Callithrix jacchus: one gene and its partners. The protein of the gene in region 1 binds, or shares a complex with, the protein of each later gene. Links are inferred from orthologs where the notes say so. Each region holds a gene or a part of one and is shown in the gene's direction. Other genes may lie near its edges.

Region 1 (3,747 bases):
CGATTGTGCCCTTGCATTCCAGCCTGGGCAACAGAGTGAGAGACTCCGACTGAAAAACAAAAACAAAAGCAAACTAAAAATAAGCGAGCCAGATGTGGTGGTGCATGCCTGTGGTCCCAGCTACTTGGGAGGCTGGGGTGGGAGAATTGCTTAAGCCCAGGAAGCTGAGACTGCATTGATCCTGCCACTGCCCTCCAGCCTGGGCAACAAACAAATTCAGACCCTACCTCAAAAAACAGGTGTGGATCACCAACAAACTTGCTGCAAAATGAGTCCCATTTCCCAGAGAACCTGACCTGAAAGAAACAACAATGTTAAAAATAACAAAATGGCCGGGCGAGGTGGCTCACGCCTGTAATCCAAACACTTTGGCAGGCCAAGGTGGGTGGATCACCTGAGGTCAGGAGTTTGAGTGAGACCTGCCTGACTAACATGGAGAAATCGCATCTCGACTAAAAATACAAAATTAGCCAGGTGTGGTGGTGTGGGCTTGTAACCTAGCTACTTGGGAGGCTGAGGCAGGAGAATCGCTTCAACTCGGAAGGCAGAGGTTGCGATGAGCTGAGATTGTGCCATTGTGCTCCAGCCTGGGTGACGAGAGCGAAGATCCGTATCAAAAAAAAAAAAAAAAAAACTCTCTCTATAGATATACCCGTATATATATGTAAATTACATATATGTAAATATATATATATATATAAATAACAAAAATTAGCTGGGCTTGGTGGTGCGTGCCTATAGTACCAGCTACTCGGGAGGCTGAGGCAGAAGAATCACTTGAACCCGGGAGGGGAGGTTGCAGTGAGTCGATATTGCACCATTGCACTCCAGCCTGGTGACAGAGCGAGACTCCGTCTCTAAATAAATAGGAAAACAAACAAAAAAAAGGAACAGGTTTGAGGGAACAGATTGGGTTAGTTGGGTAGTGTGGTCTCCTCTCCCGAGATGGGTACTGCACAGAGTTGGTGATGTTGGGGCAAATTGGCAAGGAAAGTTCCGATGGCGCCCCTTTCTCTACTGCCAGGGCTGCCAACTGACATCCTCCTCATTCCTCCCCAACTTCATCCTCAACTCCCGGTATACCTAAGTAGTTTTCGTCTTATTAGGCGGCTGGACATTTGCTAATGGTCCCTAAACTTTTGCGGCTGCGCCTTCAGACAAAAATAGCGCCGCGTTCCCTAGAAGGGACATGCGGCGGAAGCGGAAGAAACGACTCTGGCTCCGGCGGCTAGGAGGGCAGGAACGGAAGCGGAAGTGGCGGCGGCGCCGGCCTGGCCTGGCTGAGGGGAGGCGGCGGGCGGGTGAGATGGCGGAGGCCGGGCCACAGGCGCCGCCGCCCCCGGGCACTCCAAGCCGGCACGAAAAGAGCCTGGGACTACTCACCACCAAGTTCGTGTCGCTTCTGCAGGAGGCCAAGGATGGCGTGCTTGACCTCAAGCTGGTGCGGCCCGGGCTAAGGGACGACAAGGCGGGGTGGTGGACAAGGCCTGAGCCGGTAGCGGGAACCCCGGGGGCGGCCAGGCCGGGTCCTCAGAGAGCTGGCCGCCATCGTGTGCTTTCTCACAGGAGAGAGGCCGGGGGATCTTTCATTCATTCAGCCGAGGCCATTGAGCGACAGCTATGGGCCAGGCTCGGGGCTGCAGGTGTTTGTCCTCGTGGCCCTTCCTGGCTGGCTGGGAGAAGAGCTTCAGAACACCAGTTCAGGGCTGTGCGCCAGGTCTCTTCTCACCCTGCGGTCCTGAGCTGCAGTAGCACCTGAGAGGCACTACAGGGTTGGAACCCAGGTTACTCCCTTCCCAGACCACGTCTCAGGGTGGCTGGGGGTACACCCGAGAGTGGAGCTGATCATTCTCTATTCTGTCTGCCAGGCAGCTGACACCCTAGCTGTACGCCAGAAGCGGCGGATTTATGACATTACCAATGTTTTGGAAGGTATCGGACTGATCGAGAAAAAGTCCAAGAACAGCATCCAGTGGAAGTGAGTGGGGATAGTGGGAGGGTAGTAGAGTCTCCCACCCAGAAGTGTCAGGGGTGTGGGGTGGAGGATGTGGAAGAAAGCAGGGGCCGTGGGACCCAGAGTTCTCAGCAGTTCCTCTTGGCCCCACTCCCTGGGCTCAGGGGTGTGGGGCCTGGCTGCAATACCCGGGAGATTGCCGACAAGCTGATTGAGCTCAAGGCAGAGATCGAGGAGCTGCAACAGCGGGAGCAAGAACTAGACCAGCACAAGGTGTGGGTGCAGCAGAGCATCCGGAATGTCACAGAGGACGTGCAGAACAGCTGATATCCTCCTGACGGTCTCTGCTGTGGCGAGTGGGCAAGGGGCCCTCTGGTTCAACTTGCCCTGAGCCCTCTCCCTCTTGGGAGCTTGTCCTGTAGCCCCTAGCCGTGTCCCAACCTCAGGCTCCCTCCTCAGAGCCCCTTCCCAGTCTTAGCCTGTGATCCCTCCCCAGGTGGACCCCAGTCCCCAGAACTTTCTCCGAGGGCCTATGTGTCAGACTTTGGCTAAAGAGTTGGGTCTTCTCTGTAGTCTGCCGTCTGTCACCATAGGGCCATTCTCCTTAACCCTCACACTTTGGCCTACGTCACTCATGAGGACATCTGCAGATGCTTTGCTGGTGAGCAGAGCCTGGGTAGGGACAAGGGGGTGGGCTGGGGCACTGGGCTCAGTGTCTCAGGAGACACTGTCTCTTGAGTGTCTCTCAAGAGGGTTTCTGGGGCCTGCTCAAAGAGGACCCAGGCAGGGTAAGTCTTCTGTCTGAGGGGCACTGGGACCCTGTGGAGGTCAGCTGTACTGAGAGGGTACAGGAATTTTGGAGTGAGTCCCTGGGTTTGTTCCCATATGCACTGTTACCTGGATTTGGCTTCTTGGGCATGACAGAGGCACAAGGGAGAAGAGGGGGAGAGAGGATATGTGTGTATTTGCTTGTGTGCAGACTCTTACGTGCTCGTATGCAGGGTATGGGGGTGCCCACTTCCAACCTGTTATTTACTTGTATTGTGAATACAGGATCTATTCCTTTTTCTTTTTTTAAAGAGACAAGGTCTCGCTATGTTGCCCAGGCTGGTCTTGAACTCCTGAGCTCAAGCTGTCTAACTGGCTTGAGCCCCTAAAGTGCTGGGATTATAGGCCTGAGCCACTGTGCCCTACAGATGTGTTTCTTCTCCATCTTGCATCCCCAAGGCTGGTCATGGGAAAGGGATGTTGGCCTTGGCTAGAACACCTTCACCTAGGGATCAGCCATTGGTGGAGTGAGGTGCCTGTGGCCAGTGATCTTTCACTCCACATACTTGAACTCAGATTTCCTGGTTACTGACCCTCAGAAAGAGAAGAGCTTTAGTTCTGCTCAGCCACTGTAGGGGATTGGTGAGACCCACTGACTAGCCCCTCAGAGACTATGATCTCCTGCCTTGCTCCAAAAGGCAGGCACCTCTGTTCCCAGCTCAGATTTAGCCTATGGGCTCTGACCCATTCTCTGTCATTCTAGGAGATACCCTCTTGGCCATCCGGGCCCCATCAGGCACCAGCCTGGAGGTGCCCATCCCAGAGGTGGGTGCTTAGCCTAGGCAGGCGGGGTCAGCTGAGGGCGGGTGCTGGCTGTGGAGTCTGATAAGTCCCGGGTGGGGCAGGTAGGGGGAGGCCTGGAGTTCGGGGTTATCTGGGAGGATGGGCAGCCTGGGTGGGAGAGGATACTGTGGTCCTGACTCAAGAGTTGGGCAGGAGTCAGGACCACAAGCGTGCTTCCAATT
Region 2 (3,747 bases), on another chromosome or scaffold:
GGTGGACGGATGGAGTGGTGAGGGCAAGAGAGTGACAGCAGGGACCGGGCAGGGCTGGAGGAGAGTGGGCGAGAGCCAGAAAAGAGGAGGCTCAGGAGTAAAAGGGTGTAAGGCCAAGAGTAACAGCTCGGGTGGGATCCGGGACGAGGTAGGGTATGAAGTGAGAGCTGCGCATGGGACAGGGCCGCACAGGTCGCGTAGGAACACGAGGTCCGGCCAAAAAGGGGCTGGGCCAAAAAGGTGGTCCCGCCCGAGGATGGTTCACGGAGTGGACGGAAAAGATCTAAGTCCTGGCTTCATGGTCCCTTGGCACCACCCTCACTCGCCTGCAGGATCCGGGCTCGCACTGCCGCCGCCGCCACCACCGCCGCCATGGCTCTCGGCCTCCCTAGCTCCGCACCCTGCGCCTCTACTGCTCAGAAGCACTACAGCTGCCAGGCCTCGCCCTCCATCCTGACTGGCTTCCTCATTGGTGGGTAGGACTATTTTTTCCAGCCAGTCACGCGAACCAACACCTGATTCCGCCCCTCACACGCCAGTCCTGTGAATAAGTGATTGGTCAGGAGCGAAAAAGGTCTCGCCCTCTCCCACTTCAGCCAATGCTGTTGGCGGAGGTAGAGAAGACGCCCCTGACTTGGACACTCCATACTGTGCACACGGGGAAGACGCCCCCTAACCCGGAACTCCGATTGGCCAAGGGCGCAACCGAGGCCCCGCCCTCTCACCGAGAAAAGTAAATAAGACCCTCCAAGAATTTTGCAGTCGCTCCACCTCAACAACTGCGCGAGGGGCGTGGCTATAATTAGGGGCGGGGATAGGCAAATGTTGCCCTATGAGGCGAGGGAATGAGACTAGGCTGTGAGTTGGGGATAGGGTTTCTCTTTGGGGGAGTGGCTTATGGATCCTCGTTTTCCCGCCGACGGTTGGCCATGTCACGTGACATGGGTTGGAAGATGGCGTCTCCCACAGACGGTAAGAGCCGGCTTGTAGATCTTTGCCTGCAGCCTCCTTCTTTGCTCTACCGGCAACGTCTACTCTGTCTCTGCCCCTCAAACATACATTTCTTTCTTGGGCTCTTCTCCTTTCCCTTTTACTTTTTTTCTTGAGATCCATCGCCGTCTTCAGCTCACTGGTTCTTCACAGCGGCTCCGGAGGTGCCCAGTTTCCCCGCTCTGTACCAGGCGTGTGGAGGAGGGCACCAGGGAGGGACTCACTTTGGGTAAAAGGACAGGGGGTTGCCCTGATCCTTCCTTGTCTCTATTTGGGTGAGGCTGAGAGCCTCGGAGGAGATGTTAGTGGAGGAAAGGACGTGCCTTAAACTAGTCTCCTCCTTGGAGTATCACACTGAGGGATCAGTTTTCTTCTGATTGAGCGCAGGGATGGAACGATTCTCACAAACTCTAGCAGTGGCTGCTGGCTGACCTCATCTCGATACTGAACCGCAAGAGAAACATGATCTCTCTCCTGTCTCTTGTTTGGGACCACTGCCGTGGCAGCAAGATAATCGGGGGACGTTCTCGGCCCCTCACCGTGAGAGTCGCGAGGAGAATGAGTATTGAGCTTTTAAGTGTTGTCTTGCACAGGTCGCAACCTCTTTTGCATCTGCTTTTTGTGTTGTTTCTTCAGGCTGAGTGAATGAACGATTTCTGTTTATGTATTGTAAAATGCAAGTCATTTCAAGTAACAATTAGGTTGTCTTGGTATATTCCTATGCTTTTGGTCTCGGTTCTGCTTTAGAGAGTTAGGGTCTTGCAGTCATTTTTAAACTCATTTTTGTTTCTGTCGTTCCCATCCCAACTATATATATCGATTTCATTGATATATAGGTTTCCCTCCCTTAGACAAACACATTTTGTATTTGGAAGGAATCTTGAAAGTTCATTACAGGAATGAGGAAATTGAAGCCAAGGTGAGCTTTATTAAGTACCTGCTACATGAAACGCATAATGCTAGGTGCTTTGAGATTCCAAAAGATTACTCAAACATATAAATATTTTTTTTTCAATTTCAGATCTTTTTTTAGATGTCACCTCCCAAAGAGTCTCTTAGAACACAGGATCTGGAGTCGCTCTTCCCCACCATTATTCATTATCTCAGTGTCTTCCTTGTCAGCATAGTAATTCTGTTAACTTTGCCCCTTTTATGCTAGATTATAAATTTCAAGTTTGTCTTGTTTATAGTTGGATCCCAGGGTTTAGCACAGTGCCTGGTGAACAGTAGGTCTTTAATTAGCATTTATTGAAAGATTGATTAGATATATGCAGAAATAATATATTACTTGATCTTAAGTTTTAAGATCTTGGGAGGCTGAGGCGGGCAGATTGCCTGAACTCAGGAGTTCAAGACCAACCTAGACAACATGATGAAGCCCAGTCTCTACAAAAAAAAAATACAAAAATTAGCTGGGCATGGTGCCACACACCTGTAATCCCAGCTACTTGGGGGGCTGAGGCAGGAGAATCTCTTGAGCCCTGGGGTGGAGGCTGCAGTGAACCATGTTCATGCCACTGCACCAGGCTGGGTGACAAAGCGAAACCCCCGTCTCAACAACAACAAAAAAGAAATTATGGATGTTTGGAGTCAAAAGAGAGTCTCCTGCCTGGGTGCTCTCTTGCTGAAATGTCCTTCTCTTGCCAGAAAGAAGGGCATTTAAAAAGCAAGGCGAGGGAATAGGGAGTTACTGTTAACAGGTACCAAATTTCAGTTTAGGTAGGTGAAAAACATTCTGGAAATGAATGTGCTGATGATTGCACAATTAATGTACTTAATACCACTGAACTGTATACTTAAAAGTTGTTAAAATGGTCAAATTTATGTATATTTCACCACAATTTAAAATAACAAAGCCAAGTGATAGAAGTAGAGGTAATTGTTATTAAATTTTTTAGTTTATTTTTAAATTGTTTTTACAGATTTGGGGGATTTTAAAGATGTGTTTCTTGAGTTGGATTTTTTCCCCTGTCTTCTCAATTTAGTTTCCTTTCTTTGGCCAGGAAGAGTATTAAAAACATTGTATGTTTTTCCTTTGGTCTTCTAGCCATCTTTATGGTCACTTTATTTGCACTCTTTATTTTTTAAGTTTTCATTCTTATCTCTTACAGAGTTTCACTCTTCTCCACCTAATCTTTTCTTTTTAATCTGACAAAATCAAGTCGAGCACTTTGAACTTAATTAAATTCATCTTCTAAATAAGTAACTCATTCTAAAATATTCCATGGCCTAGCTCTCTCACTTCTATTTTTAGTGTTCCACCTGTCACTGTCTTTAAAATTTAATTCAAACAATATTGATTTAAAAATGTTTTTTATTTACTCTTTTGTCTTTTTCATGCTAAATTTGCTGGAACTTCTTTGAAAAGGAGAAAACTGAAATTCAAATACAGCCATCTAATTACTTAATTTGTGAGAGTAAGACTCACAGCAGAGTTCTGTCCCAGATTGTGGTATCATAAGGTCACCGGTGTAGGTTATAGATCCTACCCTCAATGATTTTTTTTTAAATTTTCTTTTAGAGACAGGGTCTCTCTCACTCTATTGCCGGTGCTGAAATGCAGTGGTATGATTATAGCTCCCAGCACACTGAAAGGCTTAAGCTATCATTCCATCTCAGCTTCCCAAGTAGCTGATACTACAGGCTCACACCACCATGCCCAGCTAATTTATTTTTGTTATTATTTATTTTGTTTTGAGATGGAGTCTCATACTGTCATCCAGGCTGGAGTGCCATGGCACCATCTTGGGTCACTGC
Region 3 (3,747 bases), on another chromosome or scaffold:
GTGTGGCACTCTGTCATCTCAGTCTACTGCCTGTTAACTTTGTAGTTCCTGGAATTCACCCAAGTTGTCTTTTGACTGCTTAACTGTCTCATTCCTCCAACTCCCGTAAGTTCCTAGAGAAAAGAATTGGAGCTCAATGACATTTGTTAAATGAATTTTTCAAAAGCAACAGTATTCTATTACTGGAAAGTGTTACAGACAGAAATTGTGAAATTTTTCCTTGGGCTTCTTTCAATTTCGTTGAATTCTCGTCCAGTATTCTCATAACATTTGGATCAGGTACTTTATCACCTTGTAGTGTCACTGTTCCTTTCTGTATCCTCTCGAAGCCTCCTGTTATTCGTTTCCTAATTCTCTCCCAGCCCATTGCACGATCTAGTGTGGAATGGATGAAAGAGCAGAGCAGAACAGTTCTTCAGCTGTCGGCCTAAATGACTAACTTCATGACCTCTCAAGGTCTCGCTCCACGGCTGCATACAGCTCAGCTTCCAACATTCGGGAGAGGCGTCCCGGGCTCGCGATGGACCGCGGGGCCCGAAGGTCGCGACGCGCAGGGGTCTGCTGCGGCCAGAGCTCTCCGGAAGAGGGAGGCGCCCGAGCAACGTGGGTTTCGGGAACCGTGAATATTTCACTTTGCGTACAGCCCCCTAGGGCAATGACACCCAGAACCGAGGGCTTCTTTACCCCTGCCAGGGCCTCCCTCCCGTTCTCCAATCGGAACAAACAACCTGCAGTTCCCACAGCTGCAGCGCGGGCCGCGGAACACGCGACGGGCGCGGGGCCCGGGCGGGACTCCGGAGCTGGCGCTGCTCCCCCCGCGCTCCGGCGCCGGGCTTCTCCGCGCGGCCTCCTTCCTCCCGCCCGCTCAGCTGGAGGCGGCGGCGGAGGGGAAAGGCGCGGCCCCCCCTCGGTGGCACCTCCTCCCCGGACAGGCGCGGACGGAGCCGAGCCCGCCTAAGCCGGCTGCGGCGGGAGCAACGCAGCGCGGCGCCGCGGGCAGCGAGCTCCGCATTCGAACCTCCCTCGCAAAGACAGTCTCCGCCCCACAATGCACTGCGGCGGGCAGCCTTTGAAAAAGCGGCGCGGCTCGTTCAAGATGGCGGAGCTCGACCAGTTGCCTGACGAGAGTGAGTAGCACCTCAAAGCACCCCCACTTCCCGCCCGCCGCCTGCTCCGCGGCTGCACCGGCCGGGACGGCCGGCTGTGCCCTCCGCTGGGCAGGTGGGCTGACTGCCAACTCCACCGTGGTCTCCTAGTCCTTCCACTCCGGTGTTGCCGCCGCGTCGCCGCCTTTGTTATGGTGTCTGTGTGTTGGTTTCTAGGGTTGTGTGAGCGCCAGGGCCGGAAACCGAGAGCCCGGGAGTCCAGCCTGTGCCGGGCGGAGGCGGTGGCTGCTCCCCTGGCCCGACTCCTGCCCCCGGCCGAGGTGGGGGTTAGAGCGGCCCCCGGGCGTGGGGGCTGTCCTAGCCGCCTGCACCACTCGCCCGGCGCGGAGAGACGCTCGCCGGGGTTATGTAACTCGCCTGTCCCGGGGCCGGGGGAGGGCTCGGGCTCGGCACGGGGTGGTCCACGGCCCCATCTTCTTGCCCCAGCCTCTGATGTTGTCCTGTCACAGCTCCTGCTTCTACGAGCACTTCTGATCTTCACTGTCCTCTCCGCCCGCCCCCCCCCCCACCCCACTGGTGTGTCCACCCCTAGAAGTGTTTCCGTGTCAGAGGGTTAGCCCCTTCCCCTGGGACCACAGGTGGCTGTGGACCTTTCCCGAGATCATCCAGCCCGGATACTTAGTGTTCAGGTAGCCCCCGTCCCGAAGACTTTCTTCTGTATGTGTCTTAAGAGCCATAATGTACCTTTATTTTGCATGGATGTGACCAACACAGCGTACGTGTGCAGTACCCTCCCTGACACCCACTCTAGGGCATTGCCTCATTTAACCATGTTTACTCACCCTGACATCTAAGACATGTATGCTCACTTGTGTTGAGTAAGTAAAAGCACCAATTCCATAGTTTAAGGGCAGTGGAACTTGATTTTGTAATTTACAGCATTGCATAAATTATATGAAAAATCAAATATGTTAGTTAATTACAAAAAGGTCCTGAATCCACATTCACTATTCAGTTTATACATATCTGCGAAAGGCTCAATCACTATTGAATCTATCTGTGTACAAGGCAAATGAGAACTCAGCATACTGCCGATTCCATTTTCTTTGTGAGGTCATGTATTCTTAATAAGTTGTAAAGTTAGGGGCCGGGCGCGGCGGCTCACGCCTGTAATCCCAGCACTTTGAGAGGCCGAGGCTGGTGGATCACGAGGTCAAGAGATCGAGACCATCCTGGTCAACATAGTGAAACCCCGTCTCTACTAAAAATACAAAAAATTAGCTGGGCATGGTGGTGCGTGCCTGTAGTCTCAGCTACTCAGGAGGCTGAGGCAGGAGAATTGCCTGAACCCAGGAGGCGGAGGTTGCGGTGAGCAGAGATCACGCCATTGCACTCCAGCCTGGGTAACGAGAGCGAAACTCCGTCTCAAAAAAATAAAAGTTATGAAGTTAAAAATTTAAGTTGCCAAGCTGGTGAAAAGTTGTATTAAAAGTGTTTGTGTTTTAAATTTGATAGAAAGCAGCGCCAAGTCCCAAAGGAACTTTGTCGGTGATGGAATTGTTTTCTTTTGTGATATCCCATAAGGTAGCCAAGCCACATGTGGCCATGGAACATTTCATGTGGCTAGAGGGATGGAGGAACTGAATTTTGAATTTTATTTAATTTTAATTTGCATAGTCACATGTAGCTAGTGGCCACTGTATTGGATAGGGCACAGCTGTTGACCAGCCATGAGTTGTATTGTTTATTTGTAGAATACAATTGATTGTGATTTAGAATGTTCCCAAATGAGTGTAGACCTACTAAGCACAGTGTTCTTGTTATCCAAAAATGTTTTTCATCATCCTTGCTATCTTTATCATAAAGATGTCTTATCACCTCTTGGTGTCATGATCACTAGAGCCACTATTTTGGTTAATGATAGGCATTTTAAGTGGCTTTCTTACAATTGCCATCAGGAATATTTGCTTCATATCATCCAACATTTATTGACAATTTACTGTGGTTCTTTGTAGGAACTTGAGATTTATACTAGGGTTCAAATTCCAGCTCCACTCTAAAATTAACATAACCTAATCACTTATATTGCTTTATGACATCTCTGGTACATTGGTGTGTATTTGTGAAGCATATGTCTTGTTTAGCCAGACTTCCGCTCTGTTGAAACCAGGGATTTTCTTTCATTGTTTGTCATACAATGCCACAAGTCAAGTATCCATAAATACTTGATTTCTATGGAATTGAATACAAAGTAACAGGTACTATTAATGAAACTGGAGCCGGGTCTTGAAAAGGAAAAGCAATTTCAATATGATACTGGAAATAGAAGTATGTTTTTTGGCCACATTTAGTCAAGGGGGCTAGCTAATACCTTATCCAGTAGTTGATACATTATCAATAATGAAAGCTACCATTTATTGAGTATTTACTGTGAACCAGATGTCATGCAAAGCATATTATATGTTTTTGCTCATTTAATCTTGATTTCAGTTGTTGTAAGTACTCACATTTTATATGATGAAATCAAGGCTATCTTCAGCCCAGATCTTTCCTGAGCTTCCTTTTTTGATGTCTTGCCTATTTCACATTTCTTCTTAGATGCTTCAAAGGCCCCTCAAAACTGCACAGGTTCAAAATCCAC

What was found. The genes of interacting proteins can lie anywhere in the genome.
Region 2: E2F4 (region 1) and LIN52 share a complex: the UniProt entries of both Homo sapiens proteins name them as parts of the DREAM complex. The link is inferred for Callithrix jacchus from reciprocal best matches to the Homo sapiens genes E2F4 and LIN52.
Region 3: E2F4 (region 1) and LIN9 share a complex: the UniProt entries of both Homo sapiens proteins name them as parts of the DREAM complex. The link is inferred for Callithrix jacchus from reciprocal best matches to the Homo sapiens genes E2F4 and LIN9.

What each region holds. Positions count from the first base shown.
Region 1 is NC_133521.1:24,702,960-24,706,706, forward strand, and holds the start of E2F4 (transcription factor E2F4), read left to right. Parts: upstream 1-1,259; 5' UTR 1,260-1,306; coding exon 1,307-1,441; intron 1,442-1,868; coding exon 1,869-1,978; intron 1,979-2,118; coding exon 2,119-2,280; intron 2,281-2,571; coding exon 2,572-2,615; intron 2,616-3,485; coding exon 3,486-3,547; intron 3,548-3,747. UniProt on the Homo sapiens protein: Transcription activator that binds DNA cooperatively with DP proteins through the E2 recognition site, 5'-TTTC[CG]CGC-3' found in the promoter region of a number of genes whose products are involved in cell cycle regulation or in DNA replication.
Region 2 is NC_133509.1:109,031,663-109,035,409, forward strand, and holds the start of LIN52 (protein lin-52 homolog), read left to right. Parts: upstream 1-934; 5' UTR 935-941; coding exon 942-972; intron 973-3,747.
Region 3 is NC_133520.1:22,938,895-22,942,641, forward strand, and holds the start of LIN9 (protein lin-9 homolog), read left to right. Parts: upstream 1-958; 5' UTR 959-1,048; coding exon 1,049-1,127; intron 1,128-2,275; exon of another isoform or gene 2,276-2,509; intron 2,510-3,747. Other genes in the region: uncharacterized protein LOC144580374, read left to right, coding at 521-958. UniProt on the Homo sapiens protein: Acts as a tumor suppressor. Inhibits DNA synthesis. Its ability to inhibit oncogenic transformation is mediated through its association with RB1. Plays a role in the expression of genes required for the G1/S transition.